2 linked regions of the Diceros bicornis minor genome follow. The protein of the gene in region 1 purifies or fractionates together with the protein of each later gene. This does not show direct contact. Links are inferred from orthologs where the notes say so. Each region holds a gene or a part of one and is shown on either strand. Other genes may lie near its edges. The genes, in order: MCMBP and MCM3.

Region 1 (15,416 bases):
GCTTAGCGGTTAAGTGCGCACACTCCGCTGCTGGCGGCCCGGGTTCAGATCCCAGGCGCGCACCGACACACCGCTTCTCCGGCCATGCTGAGGCCGCGTCCCACATACAGCAACTAGAAGGATGTGCAGCTATGACATACAACTATCTACTGGGCTTGGGGGGAAAAATAAATAAATAAAATCTTAAAAAAAAAAAAAAAAGAGTGTTTTAGATATGTTGGGTTAAATATATTATTAAAATTGATGTTACCTGTTTCCTTTTACTTCTATTAATGTGTTAAAAAGGAGACAACAGGCCCAAAATGGAGTCACTTGTGCTAAGCCCCACATCAGCAAACCAAGACTTAATACCTAACCTCATTGCAAGTTCAGCCTTTCCCAGGAATGTAACCTTTAACCAGTCAGCCTGGAATTACCCAGTCAGTACTTTGAGGAAATCCACCCAATAGGCCACTTCCATGCCCCTTAGGAGGGCCAGCTTACATTGCATTCTTTGCTAATAATTTCATTTTCTACCCACTTTTGGTCTTTAAAAACCTTTTCTTTCTTTCTTTCTTTCTCTCTCTTTTTTTTTTTTTGGTGAGGAAGATTAGCCCTGAGCTAACATCTGTTGCCAATCCTCCTCTTTTTGCTGAGGAAGATGGGCCCTGGGCTAACATCTGTGCCCATCTTCCTCTACTTTATATGTGGGACGCCTGCCACAGCATGGCTTGATAAGCAGTGCATAGGTCTGCGCCCGGGATGTGGACCTGCGAACCCTGGGCCGCCAAAGCGGAGCATGCACACTTAACCACTATGCCAGCAGGCCAGCCCCAAACCTTTCATTTTCTACAGCTCAGTGGAGCTCCTTTCTATTTGCTAGATGGGTTTCTGCCTGATTCATGAGTTGTTGCATAAAGCCAATTTGATCTTTAAATTTATTCAGTTGAATTTTGTTTTTTAACAGATTTGGTGGAAGCAACGAGATCCAAAGCAAACTTTTGCTGGCATTCAGGGACAACAAGAAACAAGTGTGGTACCTGAGGAACCCTTTGAGCATTGTCTTTCTTGCCATTTCCAAGGGCCATGGGTAAATTCCTCTCAGTTCTCAGCTCCATTTTCTTTGCACTGAGCTCCTGATCTACTTGGCTTTCCATTCCAGGGCTTTCTGGGTCAGCTTGAGCTGGCAGACTGTTCCATCCAGAAGCTGAATCCCCAGCCCTTGGTTCAGTCTGCAATTCCCCATTTGATTGGAAACCCCAGCCCTTGATTCTGTCCTAAGATCCACATGGGAACTCTTAGTGGCAGTTCACAGTTCCCCTTTGTGTGGAGGCCCCAGTCCACAGTCCCCATTTGTTGAGGTCTGCTGGTTCAATCCTTTCGCCAGTCCAAGGTTCCGTAGTAGGAATTGGTGGTGGTACACACAGGGCCTTCTTTTGGACAGCAACATAGTAATTGGTATGATGTTATCAGTCATAATTCCAGTTACTATCTTAAAATGTTGTGTGTCACAGCAATAACCAAACTCTCTTGTCAATTCTATTATAATGAACTCTCATTAGATCTTTAATAATAGGCACTTCTAAGTCTTTTGTCATTTACAGAGAGTTATTGTTTTATTCTGATGCTTTGCAAAAGTGTTCCTGCAAAAGTGCTTCATCTTCAAGGAGCTTTATGGAAAGAATTTTGACAAGTACAGGTTTCTGATAACTTTAAGATTATAAGACTGAACTGGGTAAGAATTTCCAGAAGTAATGAAAAAAAACTGGATTCAAAAAGAACAAGAATTAATAACATGAACTGAAGAGGATGATTATAATTTTTATGACTTGTTTAAAACATTGCTGGTTCTTTCTTTTTTTTTTATTGCAGTAACATTGGTTTATAACATTGTATAAATTTCAGGTGTACATCATTATACTTCTATTTCTGCATGGATTACATCATGTTCTCATAAACATTGCTGGTTCTTTAATGTTTTGTTTTTCCAGATTTAAGGAAACCTTTTCTCTGAAACTGTCTATGACTTGCCACAATTTGGAAAATATACCACTGTAAGCAAAAATGAAACATTTACTTTTTTTCCCTACCTGATCCCTCCAAAATTCAGAAACTCTTAAGTGTTCTTTTCTTTTGTGTGTGTGTGTATGTGTGTGTGTGTGAGGAAGATTAGCCCTGAGCTAACATCTGTTGCCAATCCTCCTCTTTTTGCTGAGTAAGATTGGCCCTGGGCTAACATCCATGCCCATCTTCCTCTACTTTAAATGGGATGCCACCACAGCATGGCTTGATAAGCGGTGCATAGGTCCATGCCCGGGATCCGAACCTGCAAACCCCGGGCCACCAAAGTGGAGCACACAAACTTAACCACTACTCCACTGGGCTGGCCCCTTCAGTATTCTTTTCATGACAATACAGTTAGTTATTGGCATAAGTTCTGCTTGTAACAGGACACTGTTGGAAACACTGGCTATATTACCAAGACTTTGACTGGATTGTCATATTTGAGGGAGATATGCATAGACTCAGATATGACCAGACAGTTTTAAGGAACTAAGGTTGACTTTACAGAGTGAATAAAGCCCCATGAAAAAATCAACCTAGTACCTTGCTTACAAAGTTCCAGCAAAGCAGTCTTAAAAGAGCTTCTATGGTCAATCACTATTTTTGCTGCTCTTATGTAAATGTAAATAATCAGGCCAAGTCTGATGCAAACAATTTAGTTTTACTGTGATTATCCTTGGAAAAAAAGAAATGGGGATAATTATAGAGAGAAAAACTATGTTTGCACCTTTGTCTATATTAGATTCTGATCTTGTTAACTGTATTCAAGGTTCTGTTAACTACCTGTAAACTGGGCTGGATCCTGAATTCTTCTAGTTTCCTCAAATATCTGACTACAACTCTCCAAACTAACCTTTCCAATTCCTCCTACACTTTTGATTTGGAATCACTAAGAACAAAGACTGCCCTTGAATCTCCTTGGAAGGGACTATACCAGGTCCTCCTCACTACCCAGATGGCAGCCAAGCTTCAGGGACTTGAACCTTAAAAGAAGGCTCCTCCTGACATGTGGTTCTATGCAAATGCTGGAGACCTCCAGATCAAATGGACGAGGAAGAGGACTAGCTGACGTGGAGGTAGACTGCTTCCCCCCCAAGACTCTGGATCAAGACTTCATTCTTTAAACATGAAACCCTCTCTTCTCTTTCTTTCCTTTACTCTGGCATCAGCCTGGAAATATAACACCATCACCCATATCTCCTAGGCCATTGCTAAGGGGGGTAACCTTTCAGATTACTGGATTTGTCATCAGAAACTGACCTGTCCATGATGCTGGAGACCCCCTGGTCCATTTCCCTGTCTCTGATTAATAACTCCAAACCTGAAGAACTTTGTGTCCAGGCTCTATGCAAAGAAAGGGACACAAGGCAAGGGTAACCAGAATAAAACTACCTGTGTTGTCTACAGACTCTTAAAATTTTACTGGCCTCGATGGCTGTCGCCTTTCCAGTCCTGAGCCACAGATTCAGACAGGAATTACCAGGAGGCATTCATGACTCAGGATTCATTTCCTTTGGCAGGGCCATATTTACCTGGTTAGGTGTAAATGTAAATGAGGCTATGATCAGGAACCTCTCCTTAACTCTTTAAAGTCCTGTGGAATCATCTGCTAAAACGATAGCTGCCCAACAGAAATCCTTAGACTCTCTGGCCATAGCCCTTGATTCTCTTTTAGCTGAGCAAGGAGGTGTCTGTGTTGTGGCCAATACCACCTGCTGCACCTGGATTAACACTTCTGGAGAAGTTGAAACTCAGTTACATAATATCACTGAGCAAGCCACTTGACTCAAAAAGGTGACTCTTTCAACAAGGTCTTTCTTTGACTTATTTGATTTTGATGATTTGGGTCTTGGGGACAACGGCTCCAAAGTGCACTCCATACATTGGGAATTATCCTGCTTGTAATAATCATAGTAATCTCCCTTGTGTGTTGTATTCTCTCAAAAGCTCTAAATGCATGTTCACAGTCACTAACCACCAAGCAAATGATCTCCCTAATATTGGAACGTCAGAAAAGGAACACTGACTTGAAGATTGTGAACCTGAAGTTGTTGCTGTTGTTTTTTTTTGTGAGGAAGATCAGCCCTGAGCTAACATCCATACCAATCCTCCTCTTTTTGCTGAGGAAGACCTGCCCTGAGCTAACATCTATTGCCTAAATCCTCCTCCTTTTTTTCCCCAAAGCCCCAGTAGATAGTTGTATGTCATAGTTGCACATCCTTCTAGTTGCTATATGTGGGATGCCGCCTCAGCATGGCCGGACAAGCAGTGCGTTGGTGTGTGCCCGAGATCCGAACCCGGGCCGCCAGTAGCAGAGCACATGCACTTGACCGCTATGCCAGGAGGCCGGCCCCATGAACCTGAAGTTCTGACCTGTGAATATCACAGAGATTAACCAAAAAACATCATGACTTGTAAATACCACACAAAGGATGAACAAACGCTGCAAGCACTACAGAGCAGAAGCTAAAATGTCTCCTTACATTTCGATCACATCTCTCAGTTAAGCTGAGAGTCTGATCAAAACAGAAAATTGTTAAAAAGGAGACAATAGGCCCAAAATGGAGTCACTTGTGCTAAGCCCCACATTGGCAAACCAAGACTTAATACCTAACCTAATTGCAGGTTCAGCCTCTCCCAGGAACGTAACCTTTAACCAGTCAACCTGGAGTTACCTGGTCAGCACTAGTGAGGAAATCCACCCAATAGGCCACTTCTGTTCTTCTTAGGAGGGTGAGCTTGCCTGAAACAATGAATTCTTTGCTAATAATTTCATTTTTCCACCCCTTTTCCACCTTTAACAACTTTTCCTTTTCTACAGCTCAGCAGAGCTCCTTTCTATTTGCCAGAAGGGATGCTGCCTGATTCATGAATCACCAAATAAAGCCAATTTGATCTTTAAATTTACCCTGTTGGATTTTTTGTTTAACAAATGTGACTACTAGGGCCGGCCCCGTGGCTTAGCAGTTAAGTGTGCGCGCTCCGCTGCTGGCGGCCTGGGTTCGGATCCCGGGCGCGCACCGACGCACCGCTTCTCCAGCCATGCTGAGGCCGCGTCCCACATACAGCAACTAGAAGGACATACAGCTATGACATACAACTATCTACTGGGGCTTTGGGGGAAAAAATAAATACAATTATTTTTTAAAAATGTGACTACTAAAAACTTTTAAATTACATATGTGGCTTGCACAATTTTTCTGAGATATCGAATATACAAACAATGGCCAGACCATCTTTGACAAGAGAACTCTGACCCACAACCTTTGCAGAACTGGCCCAGAAAGGTCAGGACTCGGTCAACAAGTCCAACTTCCCTGCTTGTTGGCCCCACTCACTCCTCAGAAAACAAGAATAGTTGAGAAATCCCTTCTCCCTTTTGTGTTCTAAGAAAGGGCTAACTATAAAGGACCACCTTGCTGTTGCATATTCCAACATAAGACCCACCTCTACCCTTCCTCAAGGACTCCCTTGTTTTATAAAACCTCAAATTTTAACCCTCTTCTTGGAGATGTTCGTGAATGAATAGTCTCCCTACTGCAACAACCTAAATAAAAGCCTCTCCTTCGTTGTCTGGGGCATTTTGCCTTTCACCTGTCACAACCCATTATCCAACCACTAAACTAGAGCCACATTACTTTTTGTTTGTTATGGTAACACTCCACTTCTGATACCAATTTCTGAATTATTTACAGTAAGGCTAGCAGGTGTAACAAAGAGACTTCAGAATGCAATGTTCATATGAAAATCCACACTGTCTTTAACACAAGGTCATTCTAGTCATCACCATCTCACCATCAGGAAGGAGGAAAGAGCATATCCAGGGCCAAATCTTTTCTCCTAAGAAATTGAAGGAAGTTCCAGACATCTCATTCATTCACAGTTCACTGATAAGAATCTAATCACAGAGCCCTACCTAGCTGCAAAGAAGGCTGAAAGATGTAGTGCCTAGCTAGGCAACCAGCTTCCGCTACACCTTTGTAGCTAGGAAATGCAGTTCTTCCCCGGGCAACTTATCTGTAGCTATGGAAGAAGGAGGGAACAGATTTTTTTGGTCTCAGTTAAAAGATGAAAGAGGAAAAGAGAATATTTAGGATAATGGTGGTAGGAGATGCTAGGAAGACAGTTTTACACAAGAAGTAGAGGGCAGCAAGTTCAGTTTGGAACAGGTCGAAAGGCTCTGGGAAAGATGTCCCAGAAAAATAAAGTATATAGAAGATTTGATGTGTCTAATTATCTAGAGAAGAGATCTAGGCAATTGATGGAAGTGTGCATTATCCATTCAACAACTGTTTATTGAGCACCTATGATATGCCAGACACTGTTCTAGGTGCCAGGGAACAAAACAGCATACAAATACCAAAATCACTGCTTCAAAGATCTTACAATCTAGTGGAAATTCTAGTGCAGTCAGGGTTGAATTAGTAATAAGTACATAGAAAACTAGCAAATGTTTAAAAGAAACATTTACCCCACCCTGGAGGCAACTACATTCAATCCTTTCAGCTGATTCTTTCAGTATTTCTATATTTTTAAATTAAAATTACATTGTCACTTCCAGTTTTTCCTTTTTGTCTCCTTTGCATTACATCCCACACAAAATATGAGGATTTTACTCTATTTTGATCTTCTTTGTCCTTATCACATATATGAAATCTTCTCATCCCCCAGCCTCCTAAGTTAAATTATAATGGTGGCTAGATCAACATTAAAATTTTAACATTATTATGACTTTGTGAACACTATTAATAGCTAAGTCATATAATAAATTGTGATTATTTTAATTTTTCTATACAAGTTTTGTTTTCCTAGGCTTGGAACACTTTTTCCTCACACTTTTCAGCTAGCTAACTCTTATTTATCTTTCAAGTCCTAGTGTAAATGTCACATCTTCAGGAAAGCTCAAAGCATCCTTCCCCCTTACCCACAACCCTCCCTCAGTAAAATAGATGGTGCTGTTCATTCCTCTCACAGAGCTTCACTTTTTCTTGCCTGGCACCTACCATGGTTGTAAATGAATAATTATTTAGTAATAAGTCTCCTACAGGACTGTACGTTCTATGAGGGCAGAGATGGTCTCTCCTTTTTTCATCCCAGTATCTCCAATGCCCTCAATAATTACTTGCAGACAGCGTTACTTAATGCCTTCCTGGGTGGGGGTGCAAGTGCAGTTACTGACAGTGGGAAAAAAAATCTTGCCATGGAGATGTACCCTCATGGACCCTCCCCTGGCCTCTTACATTTTCACAACTACTTAGTAGTAGTATCAACACATCTTGCCATAGGAAAATTAGAGGGTGAAATTATTCACATTATAATTACATTTCAGAATGATTACAGTGTCTCTTCAAGTAAAATCTGAGCAATTATTTGTTCAATAAATCACTAAATACTCTTCAGAGGGAGAGACCAAAAGCTGAAGTGTTCCTAGCCATTGCTAAATTGGTGTCCAGCTGCAATTGCATATAAAGCAAATCTGAAAGTATTATGATTTAAAAGCAGATATTTTCATGTCATAAATTTAATTTGCAAATTACTGGCCATGAAGCTAAAATATGGGATTTCTCCATTCAATACCAGGGAGTTGGCAACCCTCTCTGCTAAAGGAATGAATGAATGAGCAAAGTGGTGGTAATGCCCCGGATTTGCAACCCAGTTTTCTCAGCTCACCCAAACTCACAAAAGCCAGATGTATAATCCAGTATGCCAATTAATTAGTTCACAATGAGAAATATAAATTAAACCTTTTTGCCCTAAAGAGGGCTTGAGATCTGAGTTCCGTTCTTCTTGTTCTGGCTCCCCACTTTCTAGACTCCATTCAGATCATCCTCCTGTTAACAGGCCCTATTTTCAGCTGATGAGACTGGGGTTTTCCCTAGGCCTAGGGGAAACACGCAGTTTCATTACTGTACTTGCACATTTTCCAAATTTCCTCATTAAAAGGTCACCGCAGATTTGATCTTTTGTGTGTGCTGATGGCACCGTCTTCATTCTGAAGGTATCCTGATACACACGTTCTGCAGGAGCCTCGCCAAAGCTCCCTGGCTGGTTCAGGCTTCCAGGCAGACGCTGCTCTCGGTCTGTTTTCGCAGTTTTGAGCTGACCCCTCAATTAGGAACTAGTCCCTCTACCACAGTGCCTGAGATGACAGCAAAGGGAGCTCGGGGTCTTTCAAAGCCCCCTTATCTAAATGGGTAAGACTTTATCCAGCTGAGGGAAAGTCGCTAGATAGGGTTTCGGGCAGGGCGCCAGAGAAAAGAGTTGCCACCAGCCAAAATAAAAAGCACCAAGAGGTGGTGGGCGGTGACCAAACGCTGCTTCACCCACTAATTTTGCCCAGAGATGACTCGGAGTTCTCTTTGGCCTTGTGCCTTGGAGCTGCTGCGGCCTCCGACCTGTACAAGACCTCGCTACGAATTAATAAACCAGATTTTGGGAATTTCCCCCATCACGCTTGCACAGGGTGACAAACAGTAACACGCCGCCTTCGGCCCGCGACGCCCCGTTCCGCGCGCGACACCCTCTCCGAGGCCGCGCATGCCCTTCCTTTGCCCGACTCCAAGATGGCGGCCGGCCCGCCGCCGCGCCTCGGCCCCGCCCCGGCCTGGCCCGCCCCCGGCCGACGGCCCACCCTGCCTCCTCGCCCGCCCGCGGGGCCGCGCAGCGCGCTCCCGCCGCCCCTCCCCGCGCGAGCTCCACCCAGGTCGCAGGCAACGCGGTCGGCGGCGCCTATTTCCCGCCATTGTGCGAAGTGGAGGCTGGGGGCCCGCACGCGCCGCCTGCCCGGCGCCAGCAGCTCCTGGGCTGCAGCCGCCACAGCCGCCGTTCCCTGAGGCGCGGGGAGGCCGGGCGGCCGGCGCCCCGAGGCTCGCCCTGCGTGGGAGGGCGCGGGCGAAGAGCGGCCGAGCCCCCGAGGAGGCGCCGCGGCGCGGGACGCCGGGCCGCACCGGCCCCGGGCCGTCGGCGAGATGCCGTGTGGGGAGGATTGGCTCAGCCACCCGCTCGGGATCGTGCAGGGCTTCTTCGGTGAGTGGCGGCGCCGGGGGCGGGCCGGGCTGGCCGCCGAGTTTGCCGAGCCCGGGCCCGGCCCCACGCGGGGCTGCCTCGAGGGCTCGCGCGGCCGAGACGGTCAGCGGGCCTGCGCCGGCCGGCGCCGAGACGCCGGGTCTCCGGGCCCCCGGGCCCCCGGGCCCGGCCGCAGGTGCCTTCCACCTGCCCGATTCGGGGTTCGCGAGCCGAGGTTATGCGGCGGGGAGCCGGCTGCCGGCCGTGATTGACGGCCTCGCTCCCCTTGGCGTCCCCTCCCGGGGCCGAGCCCGCGGGCGGCAGTACTCGGAGAGCTCCTTGCCCCCTCGGGGGGCCCGCAGAGATGGGGTGAGGGAAAAGCACTTTGCCTGTGGGGAAGCCTGCAGGGTATTTCAAAACTTCCGGTGTGCCGGGGGAGTGCTCGCTCGCCGCAGAAGTTGCTTCTAACTACTGTATTACACACATCCTCCCTTTTCGAGATAAGATTTAGTGTAATCGCTTAGTTTTTCTGTTAGGATGACTTGAAAACCTGCCTAGTATACATCTCTTGGGCCAGAGCTAGCAAGAAATGTTGACCTGCTCAGATGAGTTTCTACCTACAAAGAGCTTAGAATGCTGCAGACGAGCTTAGTAAATTATAGTTGCAATTGTTATTAATGCTACTTTTCTGCTGAGAGTACACGGAGGAAAATTTAGGTTTGTTTGTGCTTAACTGGGCATTTTGACACCCCCTCCCCCAGGTCTTTTTGCACTTAGGTGTGGTGGAGGCAAACCCAGCCAGAAATCACTGTATTAGATCGTAGCACCTGACTTGTCTGGAGGTAACTTAGAGTTGTAGAGTGGCTTTAGCTCGTTTATAACGTCGTGGGATGTTAGAACGCCTAAGAAGAAGCTAGATAGTCCCCAGCAGCCAAAACTGATGGCGTAAAATGTATTTCTTGTAGGAGGGACTCACTCAGCAACTCTTTATTCGTTTTCCCTATAATTTGAACTAGTTTAGTTATCTGGTTTCCCAGGCTGAAACTAGAGGCAGCAAATTAGAAGAAGGCCTGAGTAGGCGTCCGGATTGTAGCCAGTGAACACTGACAACTTGATAAAGAAGAAGTGAAAACCTATGTACATATTTTTTTTTTTTAAAGGCAAAAAAAAATCATTATATATCCATTAAGGGTGCTTTGAGGAAGGGGCAGATATCCCTCCACTAAATCCTAGTAATTAATTTTTATAATGAATACTGAAACCCATAATTGAGGTCCAAAATTATGGCCCCAAAATGTGGAGTGAAGGTGAAATTGCACAGTTGGTTTACAAGGGTGCAGCTGCATAGATACTTTTTAGGAAAAATCCTTCAAAAGTAAAAAGTTTTTGGGCTTAAAAGGTGAAGTTTCAGTTACGATATTTAGAAAATTTATTTACGAGAACTACCCCATACCCTAGTCTTGCTGGACAAATGAGATGATTTTATATTTGATATGGATTTGAGTGTATTTGGGTCAGATTTTGTCTCCTGTGTGTGTGATCCTAAGGGCCACATCTCCTTATAGTACTGAAAGGGTATAATTTGGATATAAAATATTGGCTTTACACTATTTTGTAAATTTTGTGAATTGTTGAGGGGACCTGGCCCTTATTGATGTGTTTCCTCCTGGATTGTCTTAATCTCATATAGGTTGTGTTTTATAGAGGAGAAACTAATACTGTTTTACAGTCATGAATTTTTTGTAGAAGCTGTTCTGAAGCATAGTATATATTTTTACTATATTTTCTATCACTGTGAATATATTGAATATCTTTATAATAACAGCATTACAGGTATGTTCATGTGATAAGTCAGTCAGGTGTTAAACTTGTAGACTCTTTGGTTTAGTAGGAAATTCTTTTGAATCGATTTTTTTCTCCAGGTAGAAAAGTACTGCAAGTCTTTTGTGGTTTCTGAGGCCTTTCTGGGTTCTACCCCTGCCTTGCCCTCAGACCTCATCACTACGTTCTCCCTCTTATTGAACCCTCTTTCAGTTCTTTGATTTTGAACCTGGCTTCTAGGCCTTCTGCATAGGCTGTTAACTTTCCCAGGTCCCCCCCCCTTCTCCTCCAACTTCCACTTTCCTGGCTAAATCTGACTCTTCTTTGAGCACCTAAGTTATGTACCCCCTGCTCCACGTTACTACAGGATCCTGTATGTCCTGGAAATTGGATGTGTAAAGCATATTGTTGAAATCGCTTGGTGCTTGGGTTCCTTTGCTATATTTGACTCTGGGAATTCAGGGCCTGTATCTGCCTTATTCACTAGTACATCGTCATTGCTTAGAGTACGCCTCGTACATTGAAAATGCTCACTGAACGTTTGTTGAACAGAGGCAGTGGAAAGACGGATTATCGATCAGAAGTGGTGTAAATTGGGATGGTTACTGTGACCACAAATCTCAAACTTAAGACAGTCCTGGTGGACCTTATGTTGGTTCAGAGCATATGATCATACCAGGAATGAGTTAGCTTTCACATGCAAATCCTAATTCTTTCTTCTTGGTTTAAATAAGAAACTTTAAAGTTCTCATAGTGGCCAGTCATAACCATATGAATCATAATTCGTCTTTGTGAACAAAGCTGTATTTTAAATTTATATCTGCCATATTACAGTTGTTAATATGTAAATTTTTCCTGTAAGCCTTCATAAAATGCCTTTAATGTTTAGTTCCAGTTTCTGAAAGATTTTATATACAGGACATTGTCCAAAGGCTTGAAATATAGGAATACTTTATTGGGCTCTATTATGTTCATAGTGCTAATGGCCTAGGCCCCACAGTGATTGTTCATTTAGTGACCCATATCAAATTGCTTTTCTTAAACAAAAGCAGGAATCTTTAAAAGAAAAAAGTTTTGTATGCTTCTTTTTCTTTTAATCATTTTTTATTTAAAAAAAGGAAATTTTCTTTACTTGAATTAATAACTACTGTTAATTTCAGAGGAAGTAGGAATGCTTATCAACTCTGATTTCTTTCACTATTTTCTCTATAGGTTGTTGGTTGGGTCAAGATCATTATTTTTGGTTATATTCAGGGTCCTTTGGTTGTGTCTAACAGAACTAGAACTACACTAGCTCGTGAAAAAAAGCAGTGGTGTGTGGAGGAGGGCGGGGTGGGAGTATGTGATCACTAGCTTTTTAGAGTTTAAAGCAATAATAAAATTGACTAAAAGTCCATCTGCCTTTTTATTGTCTCCATGATTCTAAACAGACAATTCACTCCCTTTTGTCTGTACCCACCTTGGATCTCTCATACCACCCCACCACCCTTGGTAGGCCACTGGAAAAAAGAAATTGTTATAAGCCTATAGATCCCAAAGACGGGGAGGTTGCTTGGTATCCCAAGAGACTACTGAGTAGAATCAGGAACTGGAAAGCCAGCAGGAGTCCAAGCAACTCTTATCAGTTTTTCTTCCTTAGGCTATATTCATCTCTGCACACAAACTTATCTTTCTCTGCTCCACAGCTCCTGATTTCCCTTGTCAGGTCCATCCCACAGGAGCTAGCATCTTTATTTTAATACCAAATTCCGGGGTTACAGAATCTAATTGGCCCAGCATGGAGTCAGGGTTCCACTCATGGACCAGTCAGCTATGGCCAGGGCACAGAGTTATGTAGGACAGTCATAACTGTTGAGGCCCACTCGTCAATAGTGGGCGAACTTCTCAAGAGAAGAAGAATGGATTGGATGGCCATGGCAAAAGGCATAAATATGTATATATGAATTTCTAAATTATTAAATAATAACTTGCACATGGTTAAAAAATGATGCTATTAAATGAAGAGTAAAAGTATGCTCTTCTCCCACTGAGGTCACCATTTTTAACTGTTTCTGATTATCGGTTTTTTTATTGAGATATAACACATAACATAAAACTCACCATTTTAAAATGTGCAATTCGGTGGTTTTTATTATATTCACCACTGTCGTTTCCATCACCACAAAAAGAAACTCCATATCTGTTAGCAGTCGCTCCCAATTGCCCCCTCCCCCATCCTCTGACAATCACTAATTTACTTCTGTCTATGATTTCCCTATTCTGGACATTTCGTATAAATGGAATCATACAACATATGGCCTTTTGTATTTGGCTTCTTTAACTTAGCATAATATTTTCAAGGTTCATCCATATTGTAGCATGTGTCAATACTTGCATTCCTTTTTATGACCGAAAATAATATTCTCTTATATGGATATACCACATTTTGTTTATCCATTTATCCATTGGTGGACGCTTGGGTTGTTTCCACTTTTCGGCTATTGCGAATAGTGCCACAATAAACATTCATGTGCAAGTTTTTGTCTGAATATACGTTTTCAGTTCTCTTGGGAATATACCTAGGAGTGGGATTGCTAGGTCATATGCTAATTTTATGTTAGAACTATTTTCCAAAGTAGCTGCACCATTTTACATTTCTTAATTTTATTTATTTGTTTTTCCCCCAAAGCCCCAGCAGATAGTTGTATGTCATAGCTGCACATCCTTCTAGTTGCTGTATGTGGGACGCGGCCTCAGCATGGCTGGAGAAGCGATGCATCCGTGCGCACCCGGGATCGGAACCCGGGCCGCCAGCAGTTGAGCGCGCGCACTCAACCGCTAAGCCACGGGGCCGGCCCCATTTTACGTTTCTACTAGCAGTGTGTGAGGGTTCCAATTTCTCCACATCCTTTCCAACACTTGTTATGTTTCCTTGTTTTATTAGTTATATCCATCCTAGTGGTGGTAAAGTGGTATCTCATTGTGGTTTTGATTTGCATTTCCCTAACAACTGATGATAGCATCTTTTCATATACATTTTGGCCATTTGTATATCTTATTTGGAGAAATGTCTTTTCAAATCCTTTGCAAATTTTTGAATTGGGGTTTTGTCTTTCTATTGTTGAATTATAAGAACTTCTTTATGTATTCTGTATACTAGACCCTTATCAGATATATGATTTGAAAATATTTTCTCCCATTCTGTGGACTGTCTTTTCACTTTCTTGATAGTGTCTTTTGACACAAGTTTTTAATTTTGATGAGGTCCAGTTTATCTATTTTTCCTTTAGTTGCTTATGCTTTTGGTGCCATCTGTAAGAAACCGTTGTCTAAAGCAAGGTCACAAAGATTTACACCTATGATCTTTCTAAGAGTTTTATAGTTTTAGCTCTTTCATTTAGGTCTTTGATCCATTTTTAGTTAATTTTTGTGTATAGTATGAGGTAGGGTCCAAATTCATTCTTTTGCAATAGGATATCCAGTTGTCCCAGCACTATTTGGTTTTTGGGTTTTTTTACGTTTACCAGTTTATTTTAAAGGATATTATAAAGGAAACAGATGAACAGCCAGATGAAGAGGTACACAGGGCAAGGTCTGGAAGGGTCCCTCGTGGAGAAACTTCTGTCTCCATGGAACTTGAATGTGCTACATTCTCAGCATGTAGTTGGGTTCAGCAACCCAGAAGCTCCCCAGCACTATTTGTTGAAGAGATTGTTCTTTCCCCACTGAATGGTTTTGGCACCTTTGTCGAAAAAAAATCAATTGACCATAGACGTAGAGCTTTATTTCTGAACTCTCAATTCCATTCCGTTAATCTATATGTACATATAATCTATATGTACATGCCAGTACCATGTTGTCTTGATTACTGTAACTTTGTAGTAAGTTTTGGAATCGTGAAGTGTGAGTCCTCCAACTTCGTTTGTTCTTAAGATTGTTTTGGCTTTTCGGGGTCCCTTCTATTTCCGTATGAATTTAGGATCAGCCTTTCCATTTCTGCAAAAAAGGCAGTTGGCTTTTTGATAGGGATTGCATTGAATCTATAGTGCTTTTAGTTCTTTTGATAATAAAGAATGGTTAAGATTACAGACTTTAGAGCCAGACTGCTTCTTAACTCCAGGGCCATACCCAGGGTATTTGGCTCTCTAAGTGGATCATTTTTTAATACCTTCCTTCTTTATACTACAAAATTATTTTCAGTAATAATCATGAAATAAAGCTATATGTAATGCTGAAGGTATTACATATTTCAAAATAGATCTAAACATGGCTTCTATTACTTTCTTCCCTCCCCCCTTTTTAGAATTTTTTTTTGTTGTGTTCCACTGTGTTGATGTTTCATGTTAGTATGGGTACCACACTTCAGATTTGAATAATTTTGTATTAATTGTATAATTAATTAATTCTTTGTATTAAGAATAACTTCCCAAGTTCCTCCAGGACAAAAAAGCTCAACTATTACTCAGTAGTATTTATAGCTACCTAATAGTTTGAATTTTGGTCTTTAGGTTTTAGTTTAATAATTTTTTATATAAATAGTTGTCTGGTAGCTAATAAATGAGTTTTAA
Region 2 (16,156 bases), on another chromosome or scaffold:
TTGTTTAAGCCCCCCAGCCTGTGGTATTTTGTTATGGCAGCCCGAGCAGACAATTACAGAGCCCATTCAACAAAGGTCTGGAGTGTTATTCTGAAAATCTTTCTGTTGCCCTAACTCTTTAATAGTTTAGCAAGGTATAGAGTTCTAGCTTGTCAGTTATTTCCTTTGGGCCTTTGAAAATATTATTCATAGTTTTCTGGCCTTTGTTGTTGCAGTTGAGAAATGTGCTGTCAGTCTAAAATTTTGTTCCTCTTTTCTTTTGGATTGCTTTTAATATTTTTCCCATATTCCTGGTGCTTTGAGTTTCATTACTGTGTGTCTAAGTGAAGGTTTAATTTTATATTCCTTGCTTAGGATTCACTGTGATTCTTTAACCTGAGGATTCTTGTCTTTGATCAATTCTGGAAAATTCTCAGCTACTATGTCTTTTATGTCCTTTATTTTTCTCCATCTGGAATTCCCAGTAGATATATTTGAACCTTTTCATTCTACCATTCATTTCTCCTAACTTCTCTTTGTATTCTTCATTTTCTCCACTCTGCTGCATTATGGCAATCTCCTCAGCTCCATCTTCTAGTTTACTAGTTCTTTTTTCAGATGTGTCTGTTTTGCTTTTAACCTGTCCATTAATTTGCTTTTAACTCATCCATTAATTTATTCTTTCAATAACTGTACTTTTCAATTCTAAAAGTTTCATTTGCTCACATCCACCTTTCTTTCAGAGTCTAGTTGTGTCTTGAATATTTCTTTACCTTTTTTTTTTTAAAAACCCTTTAATTTATTTTAAATATATGGGTTTTAAGATCTAATTCAATTTCTCTGGTCTTCAGTTGTTTAGATTATGAAATGGGGCTTCAGACTAAATGGCCTCTAAGGTGACTTCCAGCTCTGAAATTCTAGTATGCACTCTGATATTCACTTATTTTTTTATAAACATTGTTGGCATACTTTGCATTTCCAATTAATGAAGGTGGCATTGGAGCATGGCAGTGAATAAAGAATGATTATTTTACAAGGCACCTTCCCCAGACCTCCAGAGCTCTGAGCCAACACCTTCCGTTTTCTCATATCCCCTTCCTGTATTAGCAGAGAGAAGCAGGTGGCTAACGATGAACACAGGCCAGGAAAAATATCCATCTGGCTTTGGTTTCAAATTAGAGATATTTTTTGGAGACGCATCAAAGAATCCAGTGAAAGGCTGGGGAGATGAGGTAAACACTAAACTGCTCAGCTTCTCAGAGATTTTTGTTCTGATCGTTGTAGCACTTAAAATTAGAGTGTTAACGGTTTTCTGTGCTCTCTAAAACCAACAGAATATTGGAGGGCTGGAAGAAGGATAATGAAAGCCTATATTTCTTTTTGTCTCAAGATTCCCACCACTGAGCTAGAAGAATGTAGGAAGGTGCTGGAAGTGAACTGCGGGTATGAGGTGGGGTGGGGAATAGAGGAGGTGATTTATGTATATTTCCGTAAAGGGCAAGGGAGTGGTCAATACGACCATTTCTGCAGCTTGTGTCCCAAGTGCCTCATAAACATCTTTCAAATTCTGCTCCTATGTTGTCAGATGTTCAGTGAGTACAGGATGCAATGAGATTCAGTCTTCCCAAACCCTGGCTTCTCGTCTATCCAACTGATTGTGAACACTGCGGACAGGAACTGTAGCTTCTTAGTCAAGTGGCATGGAGCCAATTAAAACTAATATTCAGTTTACTTCAAAGAACACTGGCTCTTCCCTCCTCCCCCCCTTGCCATGCCAGCTGACCAGATGCAGTCATGGTGCTTTTATGATTTATTTTCTTTGCTTAGATTCTTAGTATAGACTTGATTGAGGCAAAATTTATATACACTTTGCTTTATTGGGGTATAGTTTATATATACTTTGTTTTAAAATTCAACAACAAAAAAATTTCTTTCCTTTTTCATACTGTCCTAGACAAAGTTTTGGAACTAAATGTCAAAGTTGTATTCCTCTCCTGACTACAGTGTTTTGAGAGACTTGGTTATCTCTTAAATTTTTTCCTCTGTATCTTAACTGCAAAACAATTGTTCATTCTAAATTTAGATCCAAATCCAAATAGAGATCATTAACATCTACATGCATTTTGTAAGCCCTTGGGGCACTCACATGTGCGTGAGGCACATGTATTTATTCTACATATATGCAATTTTTATCCTGCTCTTTCCCTCATTCCTACTTCCATCCAAATAGCTTTTAGGTCTGTCTGTTTTCCCTAAAATGTCTCACTGCCATCCTTTTCTTTCTGTCCCTTCTTTGAATCCCCTTTCCAGGCCTCATTTCTTTTTATCTGATTTAAAGAATCCATTCCACACAGCCTCTGGCCAGATTAATCTTCCTAAAGCACAACTTTGATACTGTCTCTCCTTTGCTCAAAAGCCATCAATGGCTCCCTTTTGCCTACGAAATCCAGCACGGTCTTCTTACTTCCTGGTCAGCGTCCTCTACAGTCAGGCCCGATGCACCGGTCGCTTCCGGTTCCACCCTGCACCCCCTCTCCCGCTGACCCTTCATTCCAGCCACCTTAGTTTCTCCCAAGGCTTGGTCATCGCTGCCTTTACGTTTGGCTTAGAATGTCACTGCTGCCACATCTCCCCTAGAGGAAATATGGCCCACCTTTTGATCCTTAAATCGAATACTACTTCCTTTCTTTAGCTTTCCCTCATCACTCCTGTACAAATTTATATCTGCTGTTTTTAATGCACATGGCACTTTGTACCATGCCTAGAACACGCTGCATTTTCTCATGGTTATTCGTGTTTGTACCTTATTTTCTGTACTAGATTGTAAACTTTTGATCTTTGTATCCCCCTAAATACCTTGCATATAATATAAGAAAACACAAGCAGTATTATTTGTAGTGTGAGTAAATATCAGCATCTCAAAGCCCTCCTGGCTGAATAAATACAGGCATTTTAAATATTTTGAAACTTCAAAATGATGATGTACACTTTACTTGAAGGATCAAATAAAAACTGATTATAAATATCTAATTTACTGTCTCATACACAGCTCATGCATAATTGATTAAATGAATGAATAAACAAATGTTACCAGGCACATACAGATGCTAGCCCATCTGTAAACTAGCAGAAGGCATTCATGATGCCCAGAGAAAGGTCTCCATACTTTAAACAGTAAAATGACTAAGAAAAACTACAATGCACTAAGGTAAAAATACAATACACTGTCTTTTTAAGTCAATTATTCTAAAATATAAAATATCTGTTCACTTAATATTTAAGTAACTTCCACTGAGTCTTATGGGTCAGATTCTGCATTTGGATATTAACATACTCATTTGTTCTTAAATGCTATTCAATATAGCCATATAGGCCTGGGTTCAGATGCTGCCTCTGTCCCTTACTGGTATGGGATTCTGGGATCTTTTAAGATTTAGACTCCTTACCTGCAAAATGAGGATTAAAAATAACCACATCACAAGGTATTATAAAGATTAAATGAGATTATATGGTAAAGTGCTCAGCATCATGTTTGGCATATAGTACGTGTTCAATAAATGGTTGCTATTATTTCAAGTTAAATCAAAGCTATTTCAAGAGAGAGATTTTTTTTTTGGTGGGGAAGATTGGCCTTGAGCTAACATCTGTTGCCAATCTTCCTCTTTTTGCTGAGGAATATTGGCTCTGAGCTAACATCTGTGTCCCTCTTCCTCTATTTTGTATATGGGATGCCACCACAGCATGGCTTGATGAGCAGTGCGTCTGTTTGCACCCAGGATTCGAACCTGTGAACCCCGGGCTGCTGAAGTGGAGCACACTAACTTAACCACTACGCCACCAGGCTGGCCCCAAGAGACAGATTTTTATACTTTAAAGCTGTACTGTCTAATATGGTGGCCACTAGCCACATGGTGATTGAGCACTTGAAATGTGGCTAGTCTGAATCAAGATGTGGCTTAGTATAAAAAACATTCTAGATTTTTAAGACTTACTACAAAGGAAGGTAAAATATCTCAATACTTTTTAAAATATTGATTACATGTTGAAATATTTTCGATAAATCGGGTTAAATAAAATATTAAATTAATTTCACGTTTTTCTTTTTAAAATGTAGGTACTAGAAAATTTAAAATTATATATGTGTCTTGCATTATAATTCTATTGGGCAGCACTGATCTAGAGTCTCTCGCCAGGGACAGACTTAGGTATACAGATGCTCAACTCATATTTGATTGGAATGGCTAAATGTCTTCATCATTTCATTACATTGGCACAATTTAAAGCATTGAGGGACTATATTTTTTAAAATGCACACTTAAATCTAGACATATTTACAGAGTGGAGTTATTATTAGAGAATTTCATATGCCATATTCATATTTACTCAGTAAGTTTTTGTAATTTCCTCCTGCAAATCTGTGGTTCTAAGTATGGAAGCAAAGCTCTTCAAACAGCTGCGTGAAATTTGTGCAACTAAGAATGGGGATGACTTTTCAAAGATGAAGAAACCCAATTGCTCAAATTAACCTTGGCAAATGACAATGAATCACAAATTGTTGGCAGGCCCAACTGTGATGTCAAATTTAATGGGCAAATCAGGATCATGCATGCTCCCTGGCTTCTGGATTTTCCTCCTCTTTGTAGCATATCTAACCCAAAGAATTCCAGGAAGCAAAAGTTGGAGGGGCAGAGGCTATGGGACTCTCCTGTCTTTACAAGGCACACCGGCTAACTCCAGGGACCATTTGGTCTTCCATAATGGTCCTTAAGCATGGAGCAAATGCCTCTGATGGCTTTCAACACTGGCCGAATCGAAGGCAACCAATATCCTGTCTGTGAATGTGATACTCCTTTAGCCAATTGGATTTGCAGCAAACAAGGTCTCACTCAAAGAAGTATCTGGATTGGTTCTATTGTAAGCTTTTGGTGGGAGTGGAAAGGGGGCTTGAATTTGCTTGTCTAATTGTTCCAGAATACACCAGGGTGCTTCCTCCCCATTCTCCCCAGCATCTCTTGACCCCTCACCAACCACTAATACCACCACCACTGGAACATTCACTTACTGTGAATGTTCTTACTACATGCCAGGCACTTTTCTCAATATCTTACATCTGTTATTACCTCACTGAATACTCAAACCATTCTTTGAACTAGATACTAGTTCTGTCCTAATTTTAAAGGAGAGAAAACTGAGGTATAGGGTGGTTAAGTAAGTCGCTCAGTCACACAACTAGTAAATAGAGCAGCCAGAAAGAGAAAGGAAGTCTGCTTGTCGTGGTGCTCATGACCCTGGACTGCAGCATCAGGAGAAGATTCTGACTTGTCCATATCACAGAAGAGAACAGATCTGCTTGGCCAGGGCAAGCCTGGGCCTGCAGGTTATTCCTTAAGCTGTGCTGGCACCTAGAGGTGTAGAGTTTTTTACATTGAAGCTTTTGCGGCCTTTGAGGGAGTGTCAAAGGACTATAAGGGATTATGGCACCTTCCTGAGTGCCTAAAGCTAGTGATTAATCACAGGGTATTGTTTGAAAAGTTTTGCAACATATAATATTGTTCATCGGTTTGAACAAGGATATATATATCATTTAGTAAGCATAAATAGTATTTACTAAATATTTTTTAGTTGAACTGAGCCTTTGGGTACTGTTTGGTCCCTGAGGACACGGAAAAGTGGAAGCATTATGTACACTTTTGCAGTCTTTGTTTTCCACTGTCTTCCTGCATATTTCTGCTCTCCAGGGAGCCCCCTAGTGTTTATTTAGCCTTGGAGATTGGCTTAGGTCCATGGAGGCCTAGGGTGGAGAGAAAATGGATACAGAGGGAAAGCAAGAATGTGAGCAAAAATGGAACTTCACCAGGTTACCTGTGCTTCTTCATTTTGAGTAAGAATCAGAGGAGAGCCATTGGCTAAGCTTGGCTGGACTCTGTAGGAGATATGTACAAATGCCCTTAACTTGATTATAGCAGCATCTGATTGATGATTCTCTCTGCAGTTGGAGGAGCAGGAGATAACAAAGGAAACATCCTTCCTCTGCTCAAAGATCTCATGCCCTAATGAAAGAAGGGGAAACACTAATTAAATATCCGCATGATCTTCATGGCCGAAGACAATGACATTAAAGCAAATCAAGTCCTTATTGAGGAACATGGCATAATTAATTCTAAATGGAATTGTCTTTACATAGTTTACAAATTCGCGATAGGCTCACGAATGTTACAGTGGGATAGCTATTAGAGGTTTTCTAATTTCCTTATCTTTTATATGAGGAAACTGAAGCCCAGAGAAAAGTGTGTTAGCGTCACAGATTGGGTTTTCATACTCCCACTCCTTTGGACTTTTCACTGCAAATGACTTGATTTTTTTTTGCTTATTTGAACTAAGCTTCCTGGTTATTTTAGTGTTAATTTCAAGTTGTTTCCAGAGCAGAGAATATTGTCAATGTTGCTTTCAATACATTCATAAAATGATAGTTACCATCAAGTGATAAAGGTACACTAGAGTTAAAAGTAATTTTCTCTTACTGTATAATTGCAAACAGGATCCTCATCCTAGAATCTCTTTTTCTTTTTCTTTTTGCCTGTTAATATAAACAAAAACAAGATGACTGGCCTTTTTTCTTGGACTAAGGATTGATTTATCTGCCCACTAGGATGACACCAAACATATAGCAACTATAAACTGTATAATAACTAAAAATATATATACACGTACAAATAGATGGCATATATGTTTTGTTTAGGTAGATTATACTGAGAATATTTATCAGGGCACAGTGAGTCCTAGAGACCTTTGAACATAAACTAATAATTAGTTGGCCGCAATTTCTGCTGTAGAATTACCAGGTGTCTAGTATTAGGCAATCTGGTATTTTAGCTTCCCATTCAGTAAAATCAAAAACACACGCTGGGGCAGTGAGACTGTTCTTTATTGTGCACCGGGTGGTTACATGGATGTATACATAATAAAAATTCATTGAGCTGCACCCTTAAGATTTGTGCATTTTACTGTATATAAATTATACCTCAAAAATGAAACTAAAAAATCTAAACAAACCACAAAAGACTAAAAGCAAGCAAAAAAACACTTGGACATGCAATTTATCTCTTAATTATTTATAATTTCAGATTTGCTATATCTTAATTACTGATTGATACTGGAGTGGCTTGAAACACTTTTTTTGTTTCTCCTTGTGTTTGTCTTTCAATAAACTAAGTTTTTAAAAAAGGTCCTGTGATCTTCCTACAAGGCGAGAAAGCCTTTAACTTACCCATCTGCAAGTAAGATGGTGCAGTAATTTTGTGCAAAGTTTGTTCAACACATGAGGCCATCTCTAGGGGGCGGGGTACATGCCGAAAATTTTTTTCACTTCACCCTCCTCCGCGGTCTGATATTTTTATGGGGTACTTCAGGCAACAGTATTCAGAGAGCAAATGGGTCGCTGAACTAAACAACCCTTCCCAAAGAAGCTAGGATTCTATTTTCCATTCCACGGATTGTCAAAATTCACTTTTTTTCCCCTGGAGGCCAGTTGAGGATAGTTGCTTGAGAAACATATCTAGCACGCCAGATCTGAATATATTTTAAAATAAAATTGCTTTTATGTTTTCATCTCCCTGCATTATGAACCCCCATTCTCTGACTTTCAGCCTGTTCTCAGTACAACCGCCGCGCTGAGTTCATTCACTCTGCGGCAGGTCAGGGGACAGAATATCAAGACTACGACTCCCAGAATGCATCCGGCGCCTTGGGCCGCCCAATGATCAGGCTCCGCGAGCCTCCCTTCGGCCCCATTGGTCAGCTCTCCCGTCAGTGAGGGCGGAGCGGGGAGGGGAGAAACAGAAGGCCCCGGATGGCACATTTCCCGCCACAGCGGGGCGCAGATCGGAAAACGCGAAGCAGCAGCAGCTCTCGATTGGATACTCACTATTCTGGCGTCAGAGGAGTCAGCCAATCAGAATGTTTATACGCTTCCAGAGCCCCCGCCCCTTCCTCGAGGTAACCCCTGGTGGCGGGAAAAGCTCGGAAGTTTTCGCGCCGGGGCGGGGTCATCCAGGGACCCTCCGCGCGGCTCTGGAGGAGGCAGTTCCGAGGCGGCAAGCATGGCGGGGACCGTGGTGCTGGACGATGTGGAGCTGCGGGAGGCGCAGCGAGATTACTTGGACTTCTTGGATGACGAGGTGAGCGAGGCGCCGGGTCGCGAGACTCTGGCGCTTGGGGCCCTTGGGGACGCGGACGGGCCGAGGGAGGCCACGCAGGACGCCGCTCCACGCCAGAGCCGCAGGGCCGGGAGCGGGAGGACCGCCGGGACTCGGCTCAGGAGCCCTCCACCCCGAGCTGGTCACTGTTCCAGCGGAGGAGTCAGTCGTTAGCGGTTTTCCGTAGGGGAACTCTTAGAGAGCGGTCCTGTGACTTTCTCCCAAGTACAGATGATGGCCGGGGCTCGCAAAAATAAAATGGCAAAGCTCCCTTTGACCTTTTAGAAGTCGCTCCCTGCTCTCATAATTTGGAGGGAGGGAGGGGGAGGTAGGGCTGTAGAGCGGTGGTGACCCGCCGCGTTTCAGGGTCCCCAGGTTTTAGTGACTGACTTCCTAATTTGGCCGCGTTCTTTTTCAGTACCAGGTGAGATGCAGAAAGTGTCTGGTATGCAGGTAAAGGGGGTTTTGTGCACAACCCAGTTTGAAAGCCATAGAATGTTGGTAAAGCATCTTGAAGAGTTGATAATGCTGTGTCTGTAAACAAATAGCTGAGGCTCCCAACTCCTTTAGGTCTGGATATGAGAACTCTTTCTGTATTATATACATGATTGGAAAATAAAATATTTTAATTCTGTACATGTCTTAAAAGTCATTTTAATGTGAATATTAAAAGCCCGTTTATTAACATTTTAACAAGCTTCTTACTTACTGTCCTTCTTATTAGTTCGTTTTAATTGCCCATTAAAGGTTGAGAAATGACTACATACAGAAAAGCCGATAATGATAAAAGGAATAATAGCATGGACTTTAAGGAAGTCATTATAATTCCTACGCTGTCCTCTTAGGGTGTGTTTGGAATCTGAAGCTAGTGAGTGAAAATATGGGAGAAATTGGGGTTCTGCTCTGCCGCGGAGATTGACTTATTTATCTTGCTGCGAGAGTTGCCTCTGTTTAAAAACATCTTATTTTTGAATGTGTGGCTGCTGTTATATGTGGTGGCTATTTTGCAGGAAGACCAGGGAATTTATCAGAGCAAAGTTCGGGAGCTGATTAGTGACAACCAAGCCCGGTTGATTGTCAACGTGAATGACCTGCGCAGGAAAAATGAGAAGAGGGCTAACCGGTGAGTGGCAAAGGTTTCCAAGGGGATGTCCTGGCTCTGGGTGAGAATGGCTCCCTTCTCTCTCCCCCCAGAGTGGAACAGGCTTCCCAGGAAAGGACCTGGATGAAATGTTTTTGGCTTAGGAGCCCTCTTTTCCTCACCTGTTCCTATGTTTTTATCTTCTTCCAAAAGTAGGTGGTGGGCATTTTCCTCTCAAGAGCTCCTTCTTCCGTGTTTAGCTGAGTATCATTTCTAAATCTTTGATGAGTTGAATTCAAGTTGGCCCTTGGTTCTGGTCTGTTTTACTGAGTCTTGTAGGATGGCAGGAGAAAGTAGGAGCTACATTTTTCACTCCTTGGCCTTGATCACCTAAGAATGTTCACTTCTGTTTTGAGGGTCAGTTTTTTTGAGCTCTGCCATCTCCGCCTAATTATTCTTTCTCTTGCTCATGTTTAGCCTCCTGAGCAATGCCTTTGAGGAGCTGGTTGCTTTCCAGCGGGCCTTAAAGGATTTTGTGGCCTCCATTGATGCTACCTATGCCAAGCAGTATGAGGAGTTCTACATTGGATTGGAGGGCAGCTTTGGCTCCAAGCACGTATCTCCCCGGACTCTTACCTCCTGCTTCCTGAGCTGTGTAGTCTGTGTGGAGGGCATTGTCACTAAGTGTGAGTGGGTTAAAGTGGGGTCTAAGGGAATGGAGGTGGGATAGAGTTGGGGGTGTGGGAAAGCAGGAGAGGTGGAGTAGAGCTGTGTAGCTTATGCTACACAGCTTCAGAAAGGAGGAGCGTTGAAATTACAGAGTGAAACTCGGAGGAGCTCTGAGTGGCCACAATGATTAGGGGGACTTGAGTGACTGCCTGTGCTAACAGAATGATGAGTTCTACTGAGAGTGGAGGAGTCTTGGCTTTTGGCAGTCTTCTCATTCTAACCCTGAACTCCTGCTGTTTCTCAGTTGGGATCGGTTGTACTTAAAGTTTTACATGGACCTGGTAATGTTCTATATGTAAATATAAAAATGAATAAATGACAAGTATTATTGAAATAGCTTAAACTAGACGGAAGAATACAGTATTTGGAGTCATTGTAGGCTTGCCTGGGCCAGATCCCACCTCTGTAACCGTCTAGTTGGATGACTTCATATGCACATTTTCCATCCCTAGGCTCTCTAGTTCGTCCCAAAGTTGTCCGCAGTGTCCACTACTGTCCTGCCACCAAGAAGACCATAGAGCGACGTTATTCTGATCTCACCACCCTGGTGGCTTTTCCCTCCAGCTCTGTCTATCCTACTAAGGTGAGGGGGTTGGATTGATTGGGCCTTTTTGGAGGTTGGAGTCAAAGAAGAATGTTTATTGCAAGTAATTGGGTAATATCTGAAGTCTTTATTCTGAAAGTAGATAGGGTGAAAAGTAAGGATAAATCTAAAGGAAAGATTGCTAGTCAGAGTTTAGTATGGAAAGTCCACAATTCTTAATTTTTTAGACAAGAATAAATATTAATGTTAGAAAATTTGGAAAATTATGGAAGAGTCGAAAGAAGGAAAAAAGTCATCTAATGTACATCAATATTTTAACAAAGTTATATGTATAATTTTATAATTTACTTAAAGTAATATGAAAAAAGAATTATCCTATAATGTTACTATGTAATCTTTGCAAATATTTTACTGTGGGTTTGAGAAAAGTTTGGTATATAGGAAATGGCTTTATTCTCAGTGTTCAGATTGATCCGAATTGAGGACAATGTGAGGCTTTACTTAATGAGACGAAAGAAGATGATTAATATTGATTACTTGATGTCTGAACTCATTCTGTCAAAGAATATCTGTCCCCACCATCAAATTTTAATTGAGAGCTCCTGTAGCCAGAGAATTGTTAGGTACTGTGGAGGACACAGATATAAAGAAGATCCAGTCTTTGTCTTACGTTTTATCAACTGGTGGAGGAATCTTAACATAAACAGCTAAAACAAGAGTGAGTATCTTAGAACTGTAACTGAAACTTACTTTAGAATCATTTAGTCTGCCTCTGCACGGAATGCTGAGGTCCGGAGAGGTTAAATGACTTGCTTGTGGTCCCAGTTAGTGATGGCCCTAAGGACTAGGACCCGTGTATTTCTACTTCAGGCCAGTTGCGTTTTCTAAGTCACCCTGCTCTCTTCATTAAGAATCCTACTTTCTAGCATTTCTTCTCCAGGAAGTACTCAGGGAGTACTCGTCTGCTGATTACTGTGGCCAAGTGTCCTTGTCTGAGCCCTGAGATACATGGGGCCAGGTCTCCTGGAGGTTGCCCATGTGGTGCTTAAGAGCAGGGGCTGTGGAGTTCCACTGGCCTCAAGTCCTGGCTCTGCCACTTACTGTGTGGCCTGGGGGAATTTATTTAACCTCTCCCAGCCTCAGTTTCTTTATCTATAAAATGTGAAAAATACCTGCTTTACTGAGTTGTTATGATGATTACATGAGACAATTTCATGAAATAACAGCATAGTACCTTGCACATGATAAGCACTTAATAAGTGATAGCTATTGTGTTTTTAGAAAATTCAAATGGCAAGGAAGTAAAAGTTTAAAAATGTCTCTACTGAAGTTTGATATACGTACAGGAAAGCTCGTCTAAGTGTACAGCTCGATGAAATTTCATGAGCTGAATATACTTGTAAAGTCAGCATCCAAACCAGGGAACAGAGTCCCATCCATACTCAGAAGTCTCTCTTGAGGGCCCACACTGCCCAAGGATAACCCTTTCCTGATATCTAACAGTGTAGATTACTTTTGCCTATTTTTAGTATTTTATCTAAATACTCTTGTGTTGGCTTCTGTTTGTGAGATTCATCCATGTTGTGTGTAGGTGTATTTCATACATTTTCATTGCTGTATAGGATTCATTGGTGTGAACATACCACATTCCTTGACCATTCTGTTGATGGCATTTGGATATTTTCTAATTTTTGGCTGTTAGGAGTAGTGCTGCTGTGAACATTGTAGTACGTGGCTTTGGGTGAACGTTTCTGTTGGGTATTACCTAGGAGTGGAAATACTGCATCATAGTGTAAGCATATAATCAGCTTTAGTAGGGGAGGTGAGAATCTTAATTTAGATGTTAATACAGCCATGGACCCTTCAGACTGTAGATTGACCCTTCCATTAGATGGTTTGTTTCTAGAACAGATAGGGATGGGAAAAGCTGAGAAGATATTGGTCTTATTTTTGTTCCTGGATACTAAAATCTCATGAGGTCGTCTGCAAGTGATATTTGTTTCCTACAAGTGAATGTGACATTTCTAAGACAGAGCTGAGATAACTGCTTCCATGTGCCTTTTCCAGGATGAGGAAAACAATCCCCTTGAGACAGAATATGGCCTTTCTGTCTACAAGGACCACCAGACCATCACCATCCAGGAGATGCCAGAGAAGGCCCCAGCCGGCCAGCTTCCCCGCTCTGTGGACGTCATTCTGGATGATGACTTGGTGGACAAAGTGAAGCCTGGTGACCGAGTCCAGGTGGTGGGGACCTACCGTTGCCTTCCTGGAAAGAAGGGAGGCTACACCTCAGGGACCTTCAGGTAAAGGGTCAGTCGTGAGGCATTTGGAATGCTGACAGCTTGCATTTCTGGTAGTATTCCTTCTCCAGTTTGCCGTATTCTGGAGAGTTCTGTTAGACAAGTGGAACACTCTACCTGGGAGATGGGATACTTCTTTTCTGTCAGATAAAACTGGCAATACTATCTTATGCTAAAAGTGGGAGTTACTGTGACGTGGTTATAGCCTCATGGCTCACCCGAGAGTTTCTCACAGATTACTGCCTCCTTCCCACACACACGTCTGTCTGAAGCTCTGGGGCTCAGTGGAGATAATTTCCTCAGATGAGGCGTCATCAGCGTATTTGTGTCCTAGCCTAAGGGAGAGTCAGTTGTTGAATTCAGAAGTGCCTTTCTTTTTTCCCAATTTGCTGTTTGGATTAACAGCCTAAAAAGGCTCTGGTGTTAGGAGTTGAAAATAGTCAGCTTCCTCTTCTCCTCTTTGTCCCAGGACGGTCCTGATTGCCTGTAATGTGAAGCAGATGAGCAAGGACATGCAGCCTTCGTTCTCTGCGGAGGATATAGCCAAGATCAAGAAGTTCAGTAAAACCCGTTCCAAGGTCTGGCCTCCTTTAGGGACTTGCCGGTGGGGATGGATTCGTATGGGTTGTGTTTGGGCCTGGCCGTCTTTGTACTGGATCAGGAGGAAGGTCAAGGTTTTTCCTCTGAAATATTTGGTGCTAGCTTCTAGTTTGGACCCAGTCAGCAAGTAAAAGGGTGTCTTTGCTGTTTGTTCTTTAGTATTTCTGTTGTGCTACCTGCTGGGCTGCTAAGTGAACCTGATACAAACATTAGACTAGGAGTTAGAATATCATTGTAGCAGTGAGTCTGTACTGAGCACATCAGTGATGCATTGCTGCTTCAAATAGTATGCTAGTTTTGTTTTAGTTCTCTAGTTTTTCTTTTTTTCTCTTTAAAGACAGAATGTCCACATTTAGAGCTTAACAAAATATATGTATGTTTGATAAAAGTTACTGCTAAAGTAGATTCACATTCTTTTTTTTTTTTTGTGAGGAGGACTAGCCCTGAGCTAGCATCCGATGCCAATCCTCCTCTTGTTGCTGAGGAAGATTGGCCCTGGGCTAACATCCGTGCCCATTTTCGTCTACTTTATATGGGACGCCGCCACAGCATGGCTTAACAAGTGGTGCATCGGTGCACGCCTGGGATCTGAACCTGCAAACCCCTGGCCACCAAAGCAGAGCACGTGCACTTAACTGCTGCGCCACTGGGCCGGCCCCTACACATTCTTGTTAAACCTGAAACCTTATTGAACCTGGAAACACTTTTTTTTTTGGCTTAAAAATTTAGATAATTTATTGATTGATGTCTATGTAAAGTATAAGGATAAACAGATTTCAGTTTTGATCAGGGGTCACTTTTTTTCTTAAAGATTAAACCGCTAAGCAGTTTTGGAACCTAGGCTTCCTCTGTGTCTGTTCTGATCATGGTTTGATCAATGTGCTTTGTCCTAGAGAGAAGCTTTTACAATTAGAAACAGGGTCTATATTTGTGTGTTTCTTCAAGCATTTTCTGTAGGCTAAAGTGTCAAGTGGAGTTCAGCGAAGCCCCGTTAAATCTCATTAGGCTTTTCACTCTGTTGGTTATTCCTCCTGTAGGATATCTTTGACCAGCTGGCCAGGTCGTTGGCCCCTAGTATCCATGGGCATGACTATGTCAAGAAGGCAATCCTCTGCCTGCTCCTGGGAGGGGTGGAACGAGACTTAGAAAATGGCAGCCACATCCGTGGGGACATCAACATTCTTCTAATAGGTATGGTGTTGGGGGTTTGCTTTGGACTCTTGGTCTTCCCTCGTGGAGTGTGGTTGTGGGCATCTATAGCCTTTGAGATGGTGTATTCTGTACCTCTCTGTATTTCAGTCCCATGAAAGGGCAAAAGGCTAAAATGAATGTTTTTTTTCATTTTTATCATTTCTGGGTTTCCTGATTTATAATATCTAAAATATATTCTTCCGTGAATGGTAACAGGAAAGTGGAGGAAATAATATTAACAGCCAATTACCGTATATTTCTGTTATGCCAAGAGCTGAGCTAGAAAAGCAGAACTTGTAGGAGGGCAGGGGGAGTTTCCTAGTGAGTCACCACTGCCCCTGTCCAATTACAGGAGACCCATCAGTTGCCAAGTCGCAGCTTCTGCGATATGTGCTTTGCACTGCACCCCGGGCCATCCCCACCACTGGCCGGGGCTCCTCTGGAGTGGGTCTGACGGCTGCTGTCACCACAGACCAGGAAACAGGTAAAGATGGATGGGTCATTGGCAGAGGTCCAGCAGTGAGACGGAGTGTAGTTCTCTGAGCTTGCTCTAGGCACTGGCTTGTGTTGGGAAGATATACTCGAGAGGTTAGACTGGGCCTGAGTTTAGAAGATTGAGTATCTGGCATTAGTAGGTGAATTATTAAGTCTTTTGGTGGGGCTCTGTTGACAAGAATGTCTCTTAGAAGGCTTTTTGAAAGAGTTTCAAAGGAGAAAGCTTAGCAAATTGGAAGGGAAATAAAAATGAAGATTGTACTATTTTATGAATTTGAGGAAGGGATTTGAAGACTAGCAAAAAGAGAATGGAGATCTAGTTGGGAAATCATTTAAGGATGAGGATGAAGAGAGAAAAATACATGAAGGAAGTTTGTTGGAGGCTCGCTGCTTAGGGGTCAAAGTGGGACAAGGAGGCACTGCTCAGGTTGGAGCTTGAAACGGTGACCCACCAGATTTCCTCCAAGTCCCTAGGTGCTGCCTTCACTATGTTCTCACGTGCAGCAGTGAGAGGTGCCTAGGAGGAGATTGAAATCTCTCCCCTCTGTCCCCTACAACCTGGATGGCAGCATGTGCTTTTATCTCCCCACTTCCCAGGGGAGCGCCGTCTGGAAGCGGGGGCCATGGTCCTGGCTGACCGAGGTGTGGTTTGCATCGATGAATTTGACAAGATGTCTGACATGGACCGCACGGCCATCCACGAAGTGATGGAGCAGGGTCGAGTCACCATCGCCAAGGCTGGCATCCATGCGCGACTGAATGCCCGCTGCAGTGTTTTGGCAGCTGCCAACCCCGTCTATGGCAGGGTGAGTAGAGTCAGGCCCTTAACCATTGTCCTTGCCTTCATTGAGTTTTGTTGAATAACCGGGCCAAGAAGTTTATTCTAGGTGACCCAGGGGAATAACAGGCACAGTAAGCTCCTCATCTTGTTACTGTCCTTGGTTTAGGGCCATCTCACCCACTCATACACATCAGAATGCCCTAGAAAGTTACTCATTTAAAATAACTTTTTAAAAATACAAAGAAGAAAGCAGAAATG

What was found.
Region 2: the proteins of MCMBP (region 1) and MCM3 purify together in Homo sapiens (affinity purification with mass spectrometry; 10 studies listed by BioGRID and IntAct, counting the BioPlex papers as one, with this or other methods). This does not show direct contact. The link is inferred for Diceros bicornis minor from reciprocal best matches to the Homo sapiens genes MCMBP and MCM3.

Annotation. Positions count from the first base shown.
Region 1 is NC_080745.1:82,615,476-82,630,891, reverse strand, and holds the start of MCMBP (mini-chromosome maintenance complex-binding protein), read left to right. Parts: upstream 1-8,784; 5' UTR 8,785-9,011; coding exon 9,012-9,069; intron 9,070-15,416. UniProt on the Homo sapiens protein: Associated component of the MCM complex that acts as a regulator of DNA replication.
Region 2 is NC_080753.1:14,595,378-14,611,533, forward strand, and holds the start of MCM3 (DNA replication licensing factor MCM3), read left to right. Parts: upstream 1-8,019; 5' UTR 8,020-8,078; coding exon 8,079-8,156; intron 8,157-9,184; coding exon 9,185-9,297; intron 9,298-9,732; coding exon 9,733-9,941; intron 9,942-10,436; coding exon 10,437-10,567; intron 10,568-12,595; coding exon 12,596-12,834; intron 12,835-13,300; coding exon 13,301-13,409; intron 13,410-14,468; coding exon 14,469-14,622; intron 14,623-14,974; coding exon 14,975-15,106; intron 15,107-15,714; coding exon 15,715-15,923; intron 15,924-16,156. UniProt on the Homo sapiens protein: Acts as a component of the MCM2-7 complex (MCM complex) which is the replicative helicase essential for 'once per cell cycle' DNA replication initiation and elongation in eukaryotic cells.